2 linked regions of the Mus musculus genome follow. The protein of the gene in region 2 interacts with the protein of the main gene of each other region in a biochemical or structural test. Links are inferred from orthologs where the notes say so. Each region holds a gene or a part of one and is shown on either strand. Other genes may lie near its edges.

The links.
Region 1: the proteins of Flt1 (region 2) and Pgf are reported together in a solved structure, tested with the Homo sapiens proteins (2 studies listed by BioGRID and IntAct, with this or other methods). The link is inferred for Mus musculus from reciprocal best matches to the Homo sapiens genes FLT1 and PGF.

Annotation. Positions count from the first base shown.
Region 1 is NC_000078.6:85,174,312-85,178,673, forward strand, and holds the start of Pgf (placenta growth factor isoform 1 precursor), read right to left. Parts: upstream 3,003-4,362; 5' UTR 2,665-3,002; coding exon of another isoform or gene 2,653-2,664; coding exon 2,587-2,652; intron 1,672-2,586; exon of another isoform or gene 1,589-1,671; intron 1,508-1,588; exon of another isoform or gene 1,485-1,507; coding exon 1,445-1,484; intron 1-1,444. UniProt on the Homo sapiens protein: Growth factor active in angiogenesis and endothelial cell growth, stimulating their proliferation and migration. It binds to the receptor FLT1/VEGFR-1. Isoform PlGF-2 binds NRP1/neuropilin-1 and NRP2/neuropilin-2 in a heparin-dependent manner.
Region 2 is NC_000071.6:147,561,772-147,565,576, forward strand, and holds part of Flt1 (vascular endothelial growth factor receptor 1 isoform 1 precursor), read right to left. Parts: intron 2,636-3,805; coding exon 2,449-2,635; 3' UTR 1-2,448. UniProt on the Homo sapiens protein: Tyrosine-protein kinase that acts as a cell-surface receptor for VEGFA, VEGFB and PGF, and plays an essential role in the development of embryonic vasculature, the regulation of angiogenesis, cell survival, cell migration, macrophage function, chemotaxis, and cancer cell invasion.

The sequences.
Region 1 (4,362 bases), on a different chromosome or scaffold from region 2:
TGCATAGAGCTTTGACTGGTTTCTGGGGTTCGCCTCCCCCCACACCCAACCCCATATACATCATCTGTGACACACTGGGACCTCCCTCCTTCACATGCTCATCCCTGGAACTGAGAAGAACAGTGGTAAAAAAAAGTGGTACCATGCTGCCTCTGCCTCTGGTGTTAGCAGGAGGGGATGACAATGCCAGATGCTAACCACTGTTGTTTCCTTGGCCACAATGCAGGCCCACTCGCTTGTCAGGATTATAGGTGAGATGGCCTACACTCTGAATCTATACCTCCAAGCTTTCTCACACTGGATCTTGGCAAGTATAATATACATTCATGTTTCTTCCAAGGACTCAGAATTTCACAACCTTGGGAAAAGAGTCTTTGAAATCAAGCACTTAGCTAAGCTCTCCCATTTAACAGATGAGGAAACAGAGGCTGAGATCTCTTTGGAAGCTGGTGTCTGCTCTACAAACAAAAGTCCCCAATAACAGATATGATGTGGGGGGTGGGAGATATGACCCTCCTCAGATCAATTCCAGGGGGCTCAAAAATGGGCAAGTCCCTGAAGTTGAGGCAGCTACCTCTCTAACCTGTTCAGTGGTCTGGGCTTCAGATGTGAGGGCAGGCAGAGGACGAGGACAGACAGGCTGCTCCCAGGGGGATGGGGAACAGACAAGGGGCAGACCAGCAGAGGGTGTTCCCAGGCCAAGAAAGCAATCCAGCTATTATCTGTGTCTTTGAGGACACTACTACAAGCACATCCTTTCTCCCATGCTGTTGGATGCCTCAGTCATGGTATGTGGCCATCCTCCATGTCTCTGAGAGGCAAGAAGGGAGAAGGAGAGAGGATCTGGCACGAGCCTTCGGCGGGCGCGCTCCTCTCTTTGGCAAAGGTCCTGCTGCCCTTTGAAGATTATGTCTTGACACAACCCAGGGCAGAGAGTGAAAGGGCCAGGGAGGGTGTGACAGAGCCCGCCTGTTTGTAATCAATGGAAACGCCTGGTCAGCGCTGCACAGCTCCACCAGGGTTGGAATGGCAGGGAGGACTCTTCGTCCTGACCAAGCCCCTTGAATGCTCCTTACTATATCCAGTTCCCAGACTCCAGTCTGGCCTCCGGCACTCAACACAGATTCTGTCCACCAAGACTCCATCTGCATCCTTACAGCTTGCTGGGCAGGGGCCCTGAGCCAGCTGGACGAACCCTAGCGATCACGTCCTGCTTTCCGTGTGCTTGGTGACCCTAACCCATGACTGCACCTCTCTAGGCTGCTGGGTCACAAAAGCTGGACTCTTGGGCTTCAGCCTGGATGTCGAGCTTGCAGACCCACCCCAGCTTGCCACTGGCCTGCTCCCACCCTTCAGACCAACCGATCCCTTCTCCTTGGCTGCTGAGGCTCATGAGGAAAGAAGAGAGGGGGCTCAGCTTGCAGAGCTGGCCTGGCTGGCTTACCTTCCACTTCTGTTGAGTTGTTCCCAGCAGACAGGGCCCCCTGCGGTGGACACAAAGGTGGAGCTATAAGGAGGGGGCATATTCTTGGGGCTCGGCTCTTTGAGCCCACCCCAAGCTCCTCCCCCATCCTCTGCTAAAAACCACCTGACTTTCTGGCCTCAGTTTCTTCACTTGGAAAAGGGTAGGAGGCTTCTTGTGTTCCCAAGTGCTTGTAATCCTGTGGGGTCTCTCTTCTGCCCAGCCCCCAGGCCAGTCCTGCTGGGCCTACTACAGCCCGCCTTGGCTGGGTGCCAGAGCCCAGGGGGAGGGTGATCAGCTGGTGGGAGCTCAGGGGCTGGAGAAGAGGCGGCGCCATGAGCTGGTGCTGCCTGCCAGTAACGTTACACCTCGAGCTAACACTGCAGCAAGCAGACGGATGGCCTGGCTGCTCGGCAAGGGGACTGGACAACCCACCCACTCCTGGGCTGGGGCTGAGGGCTCCCAGGGCAGTGGGCAGTGCAGCGGGCAGTGCAGCAGGAAGGGAATGCATTGGCTTTGTCAGGATTTTGCTGCCCAATCTGGCTCCCTGCCAGACTCACCCAGCTCCTGGGAAAAGGGCCCTGCTCACTTCCCCAGGCCCTGCACTCAGGACCTTCTGACACCCACCAGGAGGAAAGGGCACGGCAGGATCCCTTGTCATATCTGAAGCCCACCCAAGAGCCCTCTGCTCAATTGGAGCAATGGTGGGGGAAGGGCCTCACCTCCCCACCTCAAGCTTCTTTAGTCAGCTCCTTCCCCACTAGGCCAGGTCAGAGGTCCTGGGGGCGCCTGGTTGGTCATGGGGCCACAACCCTGACCACAGGGCCAGGGAGCTGACTGGGATTAGTGGACGGATGCTTTTTGCAAAGCCACTAGGGCTCCAGGGGCTAGACAGGAAACCTCCCTCATTCCCTGTGGCTTCCCTGCCCCCACTAAGACAGCCCCCAGGAATTGGGGACTGCCCAGCCAGAGGTCTCCTCCCTGAGGTCCAGCCCAGCCCCTGGGAAATATGTGGGCACCCTAGCAGAAGCTGCTCTCTAAAGTGAGTCTGTAATTAAAGACCATAGCCCCTGTTTCTACGGCTAGGATGAGAAGGTCAAGAGGAAGCCAGGCCAGGTCCTTACCTGGGAATGCACAGCCAACCCAGCTAGGACCTGTAAGAAGCAAGTGAACAGCTTCATGACCAGCATCTTCTCAGACATCCAGAGCCAAGGTCCTTCAAGGCACAATCACCATGCTCGTCCCCCTTGGGGGAGACGCTGATACCAGAGGAGAGGAGAGGAGAGGAGTGTCCCCCTCACTGCTGTCCTAGGCTAGGTCTCTGCAGTCTGCCTGAGCATCCACAGAAAGCCGGGGAAGTCCGGAGCTCACAGGTAGGGCTGTGGCTGAGGAAACTGGTGAGGAGTGTTCCGGCGAGTCGGAGCGATGTGAAAGGATCTTAGGGGTCCGATGACCCTAGCTCCTCTCGTGAGTGAGCAGAAGTCTGAAGATGCGGTTTCCTTCTCAGACTGCAGCTTCCCTACGAACTGAAGCTAGTCGGCCGCTGGTTTTCAAGACCGTGTATGGGGCGGGGCTGCAGCCTGCCCGCCCACTTCTATCTCGAGGCCCCAGGAGCAGCCCGGGAGCGCTGAGAGCCGGTTGGCGGTGAGACCTGAGTGCGCGTGACCCCGCAGGGCGCTGAAGGGGCGCTGCCGGCGCAGATCTCCTGGCCCCTCGGAGCTAGGCGTTCATTAGCTTGCCCCAGGGTCAGCCCGCAGCGACAGCCAAGGTTGCACCTGGCTCTTCTGGAGCCTCCAGGTGCGGACGTCCAACATCTGCCTTGGAGATGGCTGGGTACTTAAGTGACCTCTGCAGGGAGTGCAGTACTAAGAAGGCAGCATCTTGCTGTGGCCCTTCATGACCAGTGCCATCCCTACACAACCCCGGGAGGAGAGGTGACAGGATTACTAACCCCATTTTATAGACTAACAACCCGATCCTATGAGAGGGCACCACCTGCAGATGCTGAACAATGTTCATATTCACACTAGGAAAGTGTATGTGTGCCCGCGGGCATCTGCCTGCGTAGACAGGGATCTGGCAGAGACAAGACAAGCTACGTGCCTCCAGAACCGTCCCTCTATTCCATGTACTATCTGACCTGGTAGGCAGGCACAGGGCAGCCCAGCTGTGGGCTGTACACAGGAAACACCTCGGGGCACCTGGCTAGACCTAGGTCCACCACCACTTCCTCCTGTCAGGTCAGGCCAGCCTATTAGAGGTAGGGAATGGACTAACCTGGCATCACCTCCCGAGCCCAAGCAGAAGAGGAAGTGTTCTAGAGCAGCAGGACATGCTGAGGAGAGGTGGTGTCTGCATGGGCACTTGTGTATACCTATGAAGCTGTGTGTATATGTCACCCACTGAACGTGCCCAGTTACACTGTGTGTCGCAGATCTGGGTCTCTGGGTATCTCTTTGTACTTGTGTGCAGCCATGCATGTCTGTACTTTTGTGGTAACCTCCTGTGTTCCTGAGTTGTTCTTCATCACCTACCATTCTAACAAACCTCTGTGACCAGCTTGTGGGCTGGTTGCAAAAACCTGGCAGCATCCAGAGTCAGAAGTTGGTGGGTGGCTGTGGGGGAGGAGATGGGCCTGGGAGGTGGCTCTTGGATCACATTCCATTCAGAGGCAGGGAGGCTAGGGCAGTCCTGGCTCTCACCCCCAGTGACCTCTGTGTCTGTGGCCTGCTGCCCACCCACAAGGGGCTGCCAGAGATGCTGCCTCTCTGTCTGGTAGGCCCTGAGGCCTGCAGGTCCAGGAGCCAGGGGCCAGTCACTGGCCAGCTAAGCGGGGGTTGCAAAGAACATTCTGACGAGCTCCAACATGCTGGGGATTGTACAGTAGACAGATTGTCTCC
Region 2 (3,805 bases):
CATACAGATACACACACACAAACACGTACAGTTCCTGCCACCGTGGGTCAAGGGTGCCCTGCCCTCTCCCTGCACTGAGTCCCGTGCAACAGGCTTTGAACAGCACTGCCCCCTGACAGTCCATCTCAGGCTAATGCAGACTTGCCTGACCTTCAGCTCCCTAGTCACACACTGGCGATCTCACACACTGGGAGAAATGTCTGTTCTTCCTCAGTGCCATCTACTTGGGCCTTGAATGGCAAACGGTTTGAATGCCACTGTCCAGGCTCTTAGCATCCAATCATGTTCTTGGTGATCAGGCCCAGTGCACCTAGGTATGTCTGTCGTTAGAAGTTTCCATTTTTCTTCCTACCCTAAAAACTCAGAAGGAACCGTCTTCCTTCTTTTTTTCTTTCTTTCCTTTCTTTCCTTTTTTTTTTTTTTTCCTGGCTGATCAACTTTCATAGGCTCCAAAGCTAAGTCTTTAAGCAGAACCAGAGAATCCCGATAGCTTTTCTTTACTTTTGTGGGAAAGGGACATTTACTAAAGTCTCTTAATGATCACGAATTAGATTATTAAAATCGGAATAATACAGGACCATCTATGGTCTTCCCCCACCCCCCAATTGCTGGATATCTGGATGAGAAACCTCAGGCTGCTGTTCTCATCCGTTTCTCTGGTAGCCTCTGTCTCATCGCCTGACTTACACACTGCAGCCGACAAGAGCTTTTGCGAATGGACAAAGATGTCTTTGGCCAGCCCTACCTGATTTTCTTTTTCTCCAGTGTGGCTAGAAGCCCTTTCCTACTTGTCTAGTCCTGGCTGGTGAGTGCACCAAGAGCCACAGTGGGCTGCAGGCTGTCTCAGTGGGGATTGCACTGGGCCTCCAGTCTCATCAGACAGAAAACCTTAAGGATGGGGTACACAGGGGAGCAGGTACCCATGATGCTGGCCCGGTCAGAGAATTAAGTGGCTAGCATGCTCTGCTCTCCCAAAGCAGCTATTCATCGTCTGCCCAGCTGTGACCGGCTCCGGCAGGTGTGCACGACCTAAGCACACAGACCATAATTTGCACATACAACTTCTAAGAGAGCCATTTTAGAGACCCAGGGCTCATCTCTAGACCCCAAAGAGCGGGCACCCTTTTCTACCCTGTCTTCCCATGTCTACCCTGTTGCCATCGTCATTAGACCCCAGACAAGGTATGAAACAGATGAAAATAAGATGGTTTTTTTTTTTTCCTTTTGATGGCTCATTGACTAATATCCTGAGTCCTAGCTGGAGAGGGAGCTTGCATAAATTACACATCACCTGCTGTGCCAAGGAGCATAAAGTGCTTAATAAATATGGGCTGATACTCTTTAGCTCCTCTCAGACTGCCTTGGGATGGTGAAATCCATGATGAAGTAAAGAGAAGCCAGTGAGGTCCCAACTTTGGGTGAGTAGTTTAGTAACTATAGCTGGGACAACCACTCTGCCTCTCTGGGTCTTGGTCCAACCAGCCCGATTTGGGTACAGAGAAACCCCTTTTCTAGACCATGACTCTTAACTCGCCCCAGTTATATTCATTGGATATATAAAACAGGATAATGCATAAGTGTCTTGTCTATATATTAATACTTGAGATAAAACCTGTTTAAAATGTGGCTTTTGAGCCCATCAGTAGGCAACCTTACTAGGCCAAACTGGACCACTTAACTCCCCGTGAGCAGTATGCGAAGGTCAGGCCTGCAAGCTTGGGTATGACCTCAATGCATCTCACTAGAGGAACTGATGATGGCTCTGGCCTCAGAAGCCAAGCGCCACCCCCACTGACACATGTTAAATATGCTTTGGATGGTAAACAGACAACAGAAGACTCCCGGGAAAAGATTTAAGATTAACTGTGGTTCCCGAGAACATGTGCCCTGGTCTAGGAAACGTCCCTCATGTTCTGCTCTGATACCTCTTGGAAGGGGGCCCGAAACAGCGGAGGCCAGGAGTGAGAAGTCACTGAAGTGGCATAGCGGAGCCCCCTCCTGCACGGGCTCCACAGGACGGACGCATCCCAAAGCCTTTTCCTGTGCCTCCTGTTTGCTCTGTTCTCCCTTTCCTCCATAAGAGAGACAGAGCAGGTCAGTGCATGCAGCCATGAGCTAATGGGCTTACTGCCTCTAGTCCCACAGCTGCAGGGAGGGTGGGTGGGGCCATGGCCGGTGGGCGGGGCGGTCGCCAGAGGCACCTGCTCCTTCCTGTCCAGGTTACCCTGAGGCTTTGCGGGGGGGATTTCTCTAACAATAGTATTCTTCACACGTCACTAACTGGGGTTACATTCTTGTTAGTCAAAACAGCAACAACAAACAAAACAAAAAACAAAAAAGCACGATTAAAGGTCACGAAAAGCAGCTGGCTCCTGTGGAGCGGAATAGGTGTAAACTCATAGATGTATAATACTGTCAGGGGCTGGTTGTCGGGGCTGGTGAGAAGCTTTAGGCGGGCGGGGAGGAGTACAACACCACGGAGTTGTAGTCTGGGGGTGGAGAACAGCAGGACTCCTTTCCCAGCTCAGATTCATCGTCCTGCACGGGCCTGATGTGGCCACAGCTGGAGAAGCAGAAGCTGGGCCTCGGCAGATCGGAAAGTCCCGCCTCCTTGCTTTTACTCGCTATTCTCAAGCTAAAGAGAAAGAGAAACAGTCCATCAAACGCCTCCCTGATGTTTTCTGGGCAAAGACTAATGACTGCCTAAGCGGGTCACCTGTCCTTACCTGATCTAGAATCCCTCCTGTCCCTAGTCAAACGTTCTTTGTTTGGAATATATACACTACCTCGGTGCGGCTGGGTGGAACCAGCATGCCTGTGGCCAGGAGTGGAGTGTTTGAGGAGATGGGATTCTCACTGGAAACAAGACTTGGGAATAGCCCCGGCCTATTCTTGAATCAGGTAGCTCCTGTGATCAGCTAAATCGGAGGTGGGGTGGGGTGGAGTGGGGTGGGGGGGCTGCCTGCCCTTCCCCCAATATCATGTCAAATCCTGGTAGCCTGAGAGCAACTCTGCAATTAAGCTGAGGTTTAAAGAGGAGGAGCTCGTTCTGATTTAGCCAGGTGGACTCCAATGCAGTAGGCACACAAATGGCAGTCATAACCAACCAGAGACAGGGCTTGAGGACAGCCCAAACTGAGGACAGCAGGAAGCCACAGACACCGTGAGAGGCAGATAGATCACTTCCCACCAAGCCTCCGAAGGGCGTGCGTCCCTGCCAACACCTTTACTTTGGACTTCTGGCCTGTAGAAATAAATTCCTCCTTCTAGTCACATCCGTGGTTAGTGGTCTCAGGAAATAGACCGTGGCACAGTTATTACAGGCAGCACCTGAGCGCAGCAGGGTCTAGGAGACTGTTGTTCTCGGGTACCATACGTTACATGAGCCCAAGATGGACACAGGAGGGAGAAAGGCATCTCCTAGCCTGTAATATTGGGTTAGAATCACTAGATTAGTGAGAGCTGGGATGGAGAGAAATCCATGAGCCACATGGGGTAGACCAGCCTGGACAGGCCTGGCTCTGGTCTTAATCTTTAATTGCAGGGTAGAGGATATAAATTAGGGTTTATCTTTTCCTCATCAAAGAGCAAGTTAAAAAAAACAAAACAAAACCAAAAACAACAACAAAAACCCACTCTTTTCCTCCCACACACTCCTTAATAAGATACAAAAGATTGGCTAGCTACCCTTTCCTTTGTGGAGATTGGGGTCCATTAATTTGGAACTTCAACACCAAGGCCTACTTCTGAGACTGCATCACAGGGAAAAGGTAAATGTTTGCCCGGGAGTGCCCGTCTTTCCAGT